Linked DNA regions of Kluyveromyces lactis. The protein of the gene in region 3 interacts with the protein of the main gene of each other region in a biochemical or structural test. Links are inferred from orthologs where the notes say so. Each region holds a gene or a part of one and is shown on either strand. Other genes may lie near its edges. The genes, in order: RFA3, IME2 and RFA2.

Region 1 (2,438 bases), on a different chromosome or scaffold from region 3:
GTGGTATCGATACAAAATCGTTCACTGTGCCGTACACTCAACAAACTGGGATCAGAAGGTACGCTCCAATGCAGACCCAACCAGGAACTGCAATTACAGTAACAACATGGTCCAGAAGGTACGCAACGAGTGCAGTCACCTACTATACCAGTCTTCGGAACTCACTGGAACAAATGACCACTTACACCCCGGGTTGGTCCTACTCAAGAACTTCTGACTACAACTATGCAACTCCTGCGCCATTCCCCTCTGATAACGGTGGTTGGTATGACCCAACTGATAGACAAACATTAACCACCAGAAAACTGAACAACAAGAGAAGGTAAAAAGGTGATGATCCAATTATGATACAATCGTGCATGCATGCCCCTAGGGCTACTCTAATAACAATTTATTTTTTTTTGGTTGGCTTTCTGTTTAAGGATTACAAGAGATATTTTGGGTTTCCGTAATACTGCCTTCATATAAATATACTTATACAAATCAAAAAAAAAACACACACACTCATATATTTATAATTCTTTCCAGTTTTGTCCTCTCACCATCCTCCCCTCTTTTCAAACGTAAAAACTTAGTACAAATCTGGGAACTTGCCACTCAATTGTTGTAATGCAACTATACCAGAAACACTGATCTCTTCACCTTCTTTCAGCTCACATTTCACAGAATCAAGCACCATCAACCCAATATCACCGGTATCGACATTTCTGCAAACAAATTCGTACCAGGATCCAACCTCAATGTTACTTCCTTGTGACAGTTTCACTTGTGATAGCGTTATCATTTCTCCATTGGTTGTTGGAGATTGTAGGATTAACTCTTTTGGTTGTGGTTGATCTAACACCTTGGCTATGATACGAAACACTGAGTGCTGAGTATTGCTTATTTGGCTCGGGTCAATTCTTGGCGTTTGGTTGGACATCACTAGCGGTTGTTGGTTGCTGGTTGCTGCTGTTAAAGATGAGTCTGCTGTAATGACAAGTTCACGCGTTTTAACAAGATGCATTTAATATACAGAAATATAAATAAATTGATAACACAGGTTTTCGTGTGCAACTTTGTGACCGGGTAACATACAATTGGAAATTTTTCTTTTGATTTCATGACAACGGTCACGTGAACGCTATTTTTTCTTTCTTGTCATTCCACCAATTCCCAATAGAAGATCCATGCGGCCAGAGGAATGTAATGTGCATTATGTAATGAACAGATTCCTCCATGAAAAATCCAGGTCAATTGTATCAGTCTTAAAGTATGCTGACTCGACCTCGTCTTGTTCTAAACAGGCTGGAATTTGCCCATTTTTTTCGATATCCTCTCTGCCTTTTTTTTTTTTTTGCCCAAGCTTAGAAGTTGTCAGCTGCATGCTTCATGCTGGCTGCATAAAATATCAGCAAGATTATTCTCGGTCTTCGGTGCCTCTAAACGTACATACGGAAACAGAGTACAACAGAGGTACGGTATACCTGGATGTGTTCTTATAATGCACATATATATAGGTAAGTAGGTAAGTAATATGGTTTGTCAATCCACGGGCTTGTCCCACTTTTGGCTCTGGCATTTTGCTGCATCTTGGAACGCATTTATTTTCAATTGTTCTTTAGTCTCGAGAAGTCCCTTTTTTTTTGATAATTAAAATTTTAAAGATAATCAGCTCATCTTTAAGGCACACAGGTGGATAACAAGTGGATACCCTTGCTTTAGAATCGTATTAAACTCTATTGTAGGGTTCGTGTATTATCAAGGGCTCTAAAAGAAATATGGCAGACGAGAAACGTGATAAGCAGCCGGTGAAAGGCTCCAGTTCGAAGACTTTGGTTCTTCTATTGGCTTCGCTCTTTTTAGCGGGTTTTGGGTATTTGCTCCATAACCAGAATTACGACATCGAACAAGTCAAATCGTTGGTTGACCAGCATTTCAGTAATACGTTTGGAACTTCCATTGGAAAATTGGTAGTTGAAGAAGAAAATGATGATGATGAGATTGATTTTGACTCTGTATGCTTGAAGACAGAGCCAATTAGCCCATCCGGTGAGAGCTCCATAGAGAAGATTTTGAACGATGCTGAGTATAAGAAATTAGCTATTGAAAAGCTATCCGGTGCCTTGCAAATTCCTACTGAGATTCAAGACGTCAACCCTAGACCAAAGGATAATATTGAATATTATTCGGAGTTCTTTAAATTTCACAAATATTTGGAAGAACAGTATCCATTGGTTCATAAACATTTAAAGAAGGAATTGGTTAACGAGGTTGGATTGGTTTATACCTGGGCTGGTTCCAACGCGGATTTGAAACCTGTTATGTTCACTGCACACCAAGATGTTGTGCCAGTGAACCGTGACACTTGGGGTGCTTGGAAGTTCCCTCCGTTCAGTGGACATTACGATGAGAAGACTGATACCATTTGGGGTAGAGGTGCAATTGATTGTAAGAAT
Region 2 (4,335 bases), on a different chromosome or scaffold from region 3:
ACACATAAATGATTCATTTACTGCCATAAGGGGGGCAGGGCGTTTCTACTGAAGCTATTAAAGGAAATTCGGTATTATCTATATCGGTAAGTTTAGCCGCCATATTTTCTTGAAAAATTTTCCTTTCAGTTGTTGTAGCCAAACTGTGGGGAAGGGAGAACTATGGTCAGAAGCGATCGCAATGTTTACCACTCACATCATGACGTGCAATAGGTGCGCCATATTGGGTCATATATAAATTACTAGTATACTTAAATTTTTGTCGGTACTTCTTAGCAGAATCTCTAGTGGGCCCCAATCTTTTCGGCGCTTACACTGCAGAATTCGGCAAATGCTGCATTTTCGGTAAATGTGCCTGTACTTAACCCCTTTATATCCAAATTATTCGATTGATCTATTAATACATAGGTTAGTATGTACATATCTTCCGCTCCCATCCTGTCCCGTTTAATTCCCGTAGCCAATCTTGCCGAACCTTTCTTCCCCTTAATCTAACTCTCTAGAAGTTGTTCGTGCCCGGTAATATTTGGAGGGGTACAATCCGATCATTTTAAAGTATATGGAGAATCAATTAATAAATTAGATTTTTAATGGTTTGTATATTGAGTTTCCCTTATCGTAGACTCACCCCTCCCCTATACCGCTATACATGGATTTATCGCCTTGTACAGGAACACTTATCAGCTTGTAGATCTGGATTTTTTTTTTTATTGCTGAAAAGAAGAATACATCCTTTGCACCAGAATTAGGCGCCGACATGTTGGAATTCTTTTGTGGAATATATAAAGGATGCGTTATTCAAAGGATCTCCTTTAATTTTGAATCTTTTTGTGTTCTCATCTTCTAATTACCGTATTGCTGTCAGTTATGTGTATCTTTTTAAGTTATGTATCAATTGTGAACGAAGGAAACCACATGCATATTTGCAGCAGAAGGAACAAATTTCACACTTACTTTTACTAGGATCGATAGTGGCTAACTGAAGCTCCTGTTGTTCTGTTTTGAAGTTTTACATTGAAAAAGTGTTTTAGTATATAACAACTAGACACAGCATCGCCTTTTCACTTTTTGAGATCAAAGGTATTATCGTTGTTTGAGTTTCATTTTGAAACTGCATATTAAGAGAGTGTTAATATATCAGGATTATTGTTTTTCTGTTTTTCTATTTTTCTCGATTCTATCCTATACAGCATTATCTAAGGTGTCAGATTTCAGAGATTTCAGACATTCGATAAATTTTTTTTTTCTAAAAAAGTTAGAATAAAGAGAGCGGTACAAAAAGGCAAAAACGGCACTCAGAAGACACAAAACGAAACACTCCAATAGGTGTCAGTTTTAGGAATCCTGTAATAAAAGCCGACACAAAAAAAGCATAAGATTAGTTATAAAATCAACCAAAAAAAAAGTGCTTCTAATTTATTACCGCGTAATTGAATCTTAAAACACAAGATTAATCGTTACATTTTAAAATAAAATTCACTAGAATATTTGTCAATCAACTACTTCAATAAAGCAAAGAAGAACAAAATGCCAGCTTTAACTTTGACCACAGCAGATTCCTTCATACCCCCAGATGTTAATAACCCTCCATTCTATATTCCGCTCAAGAATATCGATGCTAGATATAACGTAATTCAGGAATTGGGGAAAGGATCCTTCGGATCTGTGACATTGGCCGAGACAATGTACGATATGAACAGTTCAGCCACCCAAATTTCCTCAATGTACCCAGAAACTTTGATGGATCAAACTCTTATCAGAAACGTCGAACAAGAAAACTGGTACTATAAGAAAAAGGGTATAGTGGCAATCAAAACAATGATGAATAGATTACCAACATTGCATGACTATACAAGAGTCAGAGAGATCAAATTCATATTGCAAATTCCTGCACACAAAAATTTGGTTACCATATACGAGATGTTCATTGATGATTCTTTGTATCACCTTCACATTGTAATGGAATGCATGGAGCAGAACATTTATCAATTGATGAAACATAGGAAAAGAAGAGTGTTTTCCCTACCTACTTTGAGGTCGATATTATTCCAAATATTAGCAGGAATTAAACATATTCATGATCACGATTTTTTCCATAGAGATATCAAACCGGAGAATATCTTGATATCGCCATCTCATAGGTACTTCAGCAAGAAATGGTTGGAAGATGATAATTATTCGGATAATTACGTGGTGAAATTGGCTGATTACGGTTTGGCAAGACATGTGAATAACAGATCACCTTATACCACCTATGTGTCGACCCGTTGGTATAGGTCACCAGAAATTCTTCTTAGAAAAGGATACTATTCCAAACCGTTGGATATTTGGGCGTATGGTTGTGTTGTTGTCGAACTAGCCACCTTTTCACCACTATTTCCCGGTTCTGACGAAACCGATCAAATATGGAGGATTCTAGATTTATTGGGCTCCCCAGATCATTCTATCAATGGAAAGGAGCACTTTGGGGGTTCATGGCTGGATTCAAAACCATTATACCAAGCTTTGAACTATGAATTCCCATACGTAGAAGGGAAAACGATAAGGGATGTTCTACCAAACCCACAATTGGAAGATCTATATGATGTGGTTACATCTTGCCTAAAGTGGAATCCAAGTGAAAGGGCTACTGCAAACGAAATATGTGCATTGCCATACTTCAAGGAATACGTGATGAGAGAAGCATCTTTGGCAAAGACAAATAACGGAACCGCATCCAAAAATAAGGATAATACAGCTTTGGCAAATAAACTTGCAGCAAATCCATCAATATCAAACCAATGGAGTCGTATTCTTTCTGGACTACCACATAACCCGGAATTGGGCATTGTTCCTAGTTTTAACTCTCCACAGAAGTTACCAAAGGTTCAAAAGAACAATCAAATGAATTGTGTAACAGATAAAAGCCAACAGCAACCGCGAAGAGGAGGAGTTGCCTCATGGTTCAAATTTTCCACGCAGAAAAACCACGTTAACATCAATCCAAATACAAACAATGATGAGAAAATCCTTACTAGTGTTAACACGAATACAAATAGCCAGAAGAATCAAGGAATTGTAGAAAAAAAACAGCAGGAACAACAGGTAAATGCTCACAACGAGAGGCTAGATAGCTCTACAAACGCTAATGGTAACAGTATTCCTGATATAAATCTCATAGGACATGCCAACAATGATAATGAGGTATTCACTATTGAGCTGGATGATAGCATGGAGACTATGACAGGATCTGATCAAATTTCTAAGGAATTAAATGACAAAATAGAGCTTTATCAAGACACCACAAATCAGATGAACCCACCAACTCTGGATGTTGATGACGATGACGATGAACATGATTCGATTGACATGGACCATGAGAATTATAGGATTCAGGTGTTGGACGAATTTGATACTGATGAGAACTTGGAACATGAAATTAGAGCGACCGACAAAGATGAAAACAATGAAGTTGCCGTTGATAAGATGAAGATCTCCAATCAAGGAGAAGACGAAGATGATGCAGATAGTCTTCTAAACTATTATCAGGATATGATGGCTAAGAAATTACCACTTAACAAAAACAAAGGTAATTACATGCATTCGAATGGACCAGCGGGTCCTACACTATCAGATCAAATGGCAATAGACGATTCACTTGATCTACAAGAACAGATCCCAAGAAATCTGCTGGAGAGGGCAGTACAGCAAAGAGTTTTAGATTGTCTTTTAGATCCATCGGAACATGCATCTCAAAACCTGATTCAAACCTCTAACTCCCACAATCATACATTCCAAGATGGATTAAGTTTCTGATCGTAGAACAAAGAACAGCAGGCTGTTCCTCTCTTTCAGTTCTACTCGTTGAAATTTCTTTCAACAACGCTTTACCTGGTCCTCTTCCCATTCATTTATACCGTTTATAATATCCACACACACACACACACATATTCACCTTTTGTACCTGCTAGCTCATAAGTTTTAACATAACTTGCTTCTATTATTTCCTTTATAACTTGTTGGATACAGGACAGAAATGCCGACAACTCTTTCACTCTATAACATGGTACTTCTACTTGATTTACCTCTTATGTACACTATTATCCTTACTGTCTTTGTTTACTATCTCAAGTTTTTTTTTTTTTTCTTGGTAAACTGTTCCTATCAGCTCCGAGGTCCGATGATTCAAAATCTTTCGAGCCATCAACTTTACATTGTACTTCAAAGTCTTTATAAAGAAGAACTTCGGTTAAGAAAGAACATAGATAATATATTCAACTATACAGCTTTCCTCACATTAGACAGGCAGCGAACCGGAAATGTCCAATTATGATGTTGTCATTGTTGGCGCGGGTA
Region 3 (2,742 bases):
ATGGTTTAGATCTGGATTTAACGAATAAACACGCACTGCATTGATTCCCAAATCCTGAAACAAAGGTATATCTCTTGCACAAACGGAAACATCTGATAAGGGATCCTTTTCATCTGTAACGTCACTAGATCCACCTGGTTGATAGTCAATACCTCTTATAAAGAATGGTTCATCTGTGACAGAATCATAAAAGTGTTTTCCTCGAATTTCTATGGGGTGTATATCAGCTAAAACAGAGGAGACAAAGAAAAGTACACCTATTATCAATCTATGCATTTTCTTGAATGTGTATGTTTATTTCTAAATTCTGTGTTGATTGTTGCAGGGATATCAGGCTTCACTGAGATTTCTGCATCTTGTATGATTGCAGATATGAATTTTTGTGTTTATATTTCTTATATTATAATCTGTCACTGACGCAGCCAATTACCAACATATATATGAAAAAATAGTAAATAAAATAACACATAGAATAACCGCGTCATCTTAATATAGCTAAGGTGACACAACGTAGTTCAGTACAGATGCCAATGATATATTTGGGATCATAACTGCTGATTCGTCGCCCAAAATGAAAGTACTTTTTTAAAATGATAATTATGATGTTGAAATCGAACTTATACACAAAAATATGTAAAAAATTATAAGATAAAGAAGGTGAACTCGTCGAAGGTAGGGTATATGTAACCTTGTTCTGTTAGAGTTTGACAATACATTCTGACATCATCTTCAATCATGTTCAAAGATTGAGAGATAAGTTTAGTCTGCACAGAGAAAGAGTTTGAATCCTTGCCAGCGCACTGGGCTCTGATAAAATCCAAAACTTTTTCAGTGGCTGATTTTGGAGGCTCGTTATCTTGTACAAATAAACTATTGGTTTCAGTATTAGCTCCGTTAACTGCCACCGTTGAGTCAACACTCAAGTTACCGTTAGCCACAGCAAATGCCTTAATTACCTCCAGGTGATGTGCTAGAATTTCATTGAATGAATCAATATGCTTTACTACAGCGTATTGTACATTCATCTTACCACTGAATTCTCTTAGAGAAGCGTATACCTTGATGTATTTCCCTACCGAGTAGTCTTGTGCTACTTGCGAGTTATAATCACCATTTTGGTCCTCTTGAGAGGCGTGCGACATATCATTGCTATCATTAGTCCATTTTCGGAATTCGATTTGCCCAGTCCCATCTTCAACTGTAAGAGTAACATTCGATGTATTATCAGCAACGTTTCTAATGACACCAACAAATGACACATGGTGAAGTTCTTGACCCATTATAACGTATGGTCCATCTTGAATTTGTTGCTTTGCGGATTGCATCTGTTTAATTGTCACAGGAGTCAAAGTGTTGGCATTTTGTCCACCGGAATTTGGTCTGGAAGATTGGCTTGGATCTGAGTTATCAAATCCACCAGCATTAATATTAGAATATTCATTATATGGATGATAAGCTGGATAAAGGAGGAGTGGTGATTAGTTTTATTGAAAGTGTTAGTAATGGGAACAAGACTGAACCTAAATAAATAGTTTCGGAAAAACATCGTAACGTACTGGTCATTGTGTCAGTTTTCTTTAGCTTCTGTTTATTGACTCCTTCTGCCGAAGATAACCCAGTTCTTGGTTATCCTCCATTGAATATCAGTTTTGCCATTCACAAAGCTCATATCCTCTCTTCAGAAGATTATGAATAAGTTACGCGTTTTCCCTTTCAAAGATTTGGTTCGTGTTTGGCAGGGTAATATAAATAAAGAATTAGTATGGCAGAAATCTTAGCACAGTATACAAGGACAAAGAATAATGCAAATATGTGGCAAGAAAGGATACTGTAACCAAGTTTAATTTCCTCTCGGCAGCAACATTAGGATGGAATTTGATGATTACAATAATATTTATATGTAAGTTAACTAAATAATGCTGAATAAGTTAATCTTTAATCTCTTCTCTTTCTCTTCTTATTCTTCAATCTTTCCTTTTCTTTAGAGGTTTGATGAGCTTCACCGTCGTTCAGAGGAATTGCTAATTCATCACCGGTGAGGCCTTCTTCGGTATTGAAAACTTTCTTTCTCCATTCCCTTAGTCGCCTGCTCTTAGTAACCTTTCTTCTATCCTTTGACGTCAGTTCTTTTGGTCTATATGGTGCAAACTTCTTCAAGCCGATAAACTCATTTAGATCGGCGTCATCAGCTGTGAATATTTCTCGCGTAGTCAATCCGAATGATTCTGGAGACACTTCACGGTATCTAAACTTAACTTCAGAATTTTTCTCTGTCGAACGTCCTCTTTCTTCTTCCACCTGCTCTATGATGTCTACCTTACGTTCGTCGACTGCTTTTTCTACCATCTCATGTAACTGCTTCTTATCTTTTTTTTTGTCTCTCTTCTCTTGTATCTTGTCCTTCTTTGATTTCTTCTTTTTTGGCTCTCCAGAGTCTGATGCCAAGGTCTCATCGTCTTCCGCATGATCCTCGGTTTCCTGTTCAGCATAAAACTCTCCCATGATATCGTCATTCTCATCCCATGTTGGTTTATCTTCCTGGTTGTAGAATTCGTCGTTAAAGATGGTACCGATGACTTCATCCCATTTCCCATCTTCGAAGTTTCCGTTTATTAAGGTATCGGTTAAGGCTTTGACATGCTCTTCTTTGATATCAGCACCATATTCTTTCTTTACTTGCTCTAAAACATCAGTAAGTTGGTTAACCTTTTCCTTCTTTTTCTTTTGGACTGCCTTTTGCTT

Evidence for each region.
Region 1: the proteins of RFA2 (region 3) and RFA3 form a complex in vitro, tested with the Saccharomyces cerevisiae proteins (3 studies listed by BioGRID). The link is inferred for Kluyveromyces lactis from reciprocal best matches to the Saccharomyces cerevisiae genes RFA2 and RFA3.
Region 2: of the proteins of RFA2 (region 3) and IME2, one has a biochemical effect on the other in vitro, tested with the Saccharomyces cerevisiae proteins (2 studies listed by BioGRID). The link is inferred for Kluyveromyces lactis from reciprocal best matches to the Saccharomyces cerevisiae genes RFA2 and IME2.

The regions. Positions count from the first base shown.
Region 1 is NC_006037.1:587,453-589,890, forward strand, and holds RFA3 (Rfa3p), read right to left. Parts: upstream 923-2,438; coding exon 572-922; downstream 1-571. Other genes in the region: KRE9 (Kre9p), read left to right, coding at 1-326; CPS1 (Gly-Xaa carboxypeptidase), read left to right, coding at 1,761-2,438. UniProt on the Saccharomyces cerevisiae protein: As part of the replication protein A (RPA/RP-A), a single-stranded DNA-binding heterotrimeric complex, may play an essential role in DNA replication, recombination and repair.
Region 2 is NC_006042.1:262,802-267,136, forward strand, and holds IME2 (protein kinase IME2), read left to right. Parts: upstream 1-1,527; coding exon 1,528-3,795; downstream 3,796-4,335. Other genes in the region: KLLA0_F02860g (NAD(P)/FAD-dependent oxidoreductase), read left to right, coding at 4,299-4,335. UniProt on the Saccharomyces cerevisiae protein: Protein kinase which is essential for the initiation of meiosis and sporulation.
Region 3 is NC_006041.1:667,266-670,007, forward strand, and holds RFA2 (Rfa2p), read right to left. Parts: upstream 1,326-2,742; coding exon 642-1,325; downstream 1-641. Other genes in the region: GAS4 (1,3-beta-glucanosyltransferase), read right to left, coding at 1-276; KRI1 (Kri1p), read right to left, coding at 1,936-2,742. UniProt on the Saccharomyces cerevisiae protein: Binds to single-stranded sequences participating in DNA replication in addition to those mediating transcriptional repression (URS1) and activation (CAR1). Stimulates the activity of a cognate strand exchange protein (SEP1).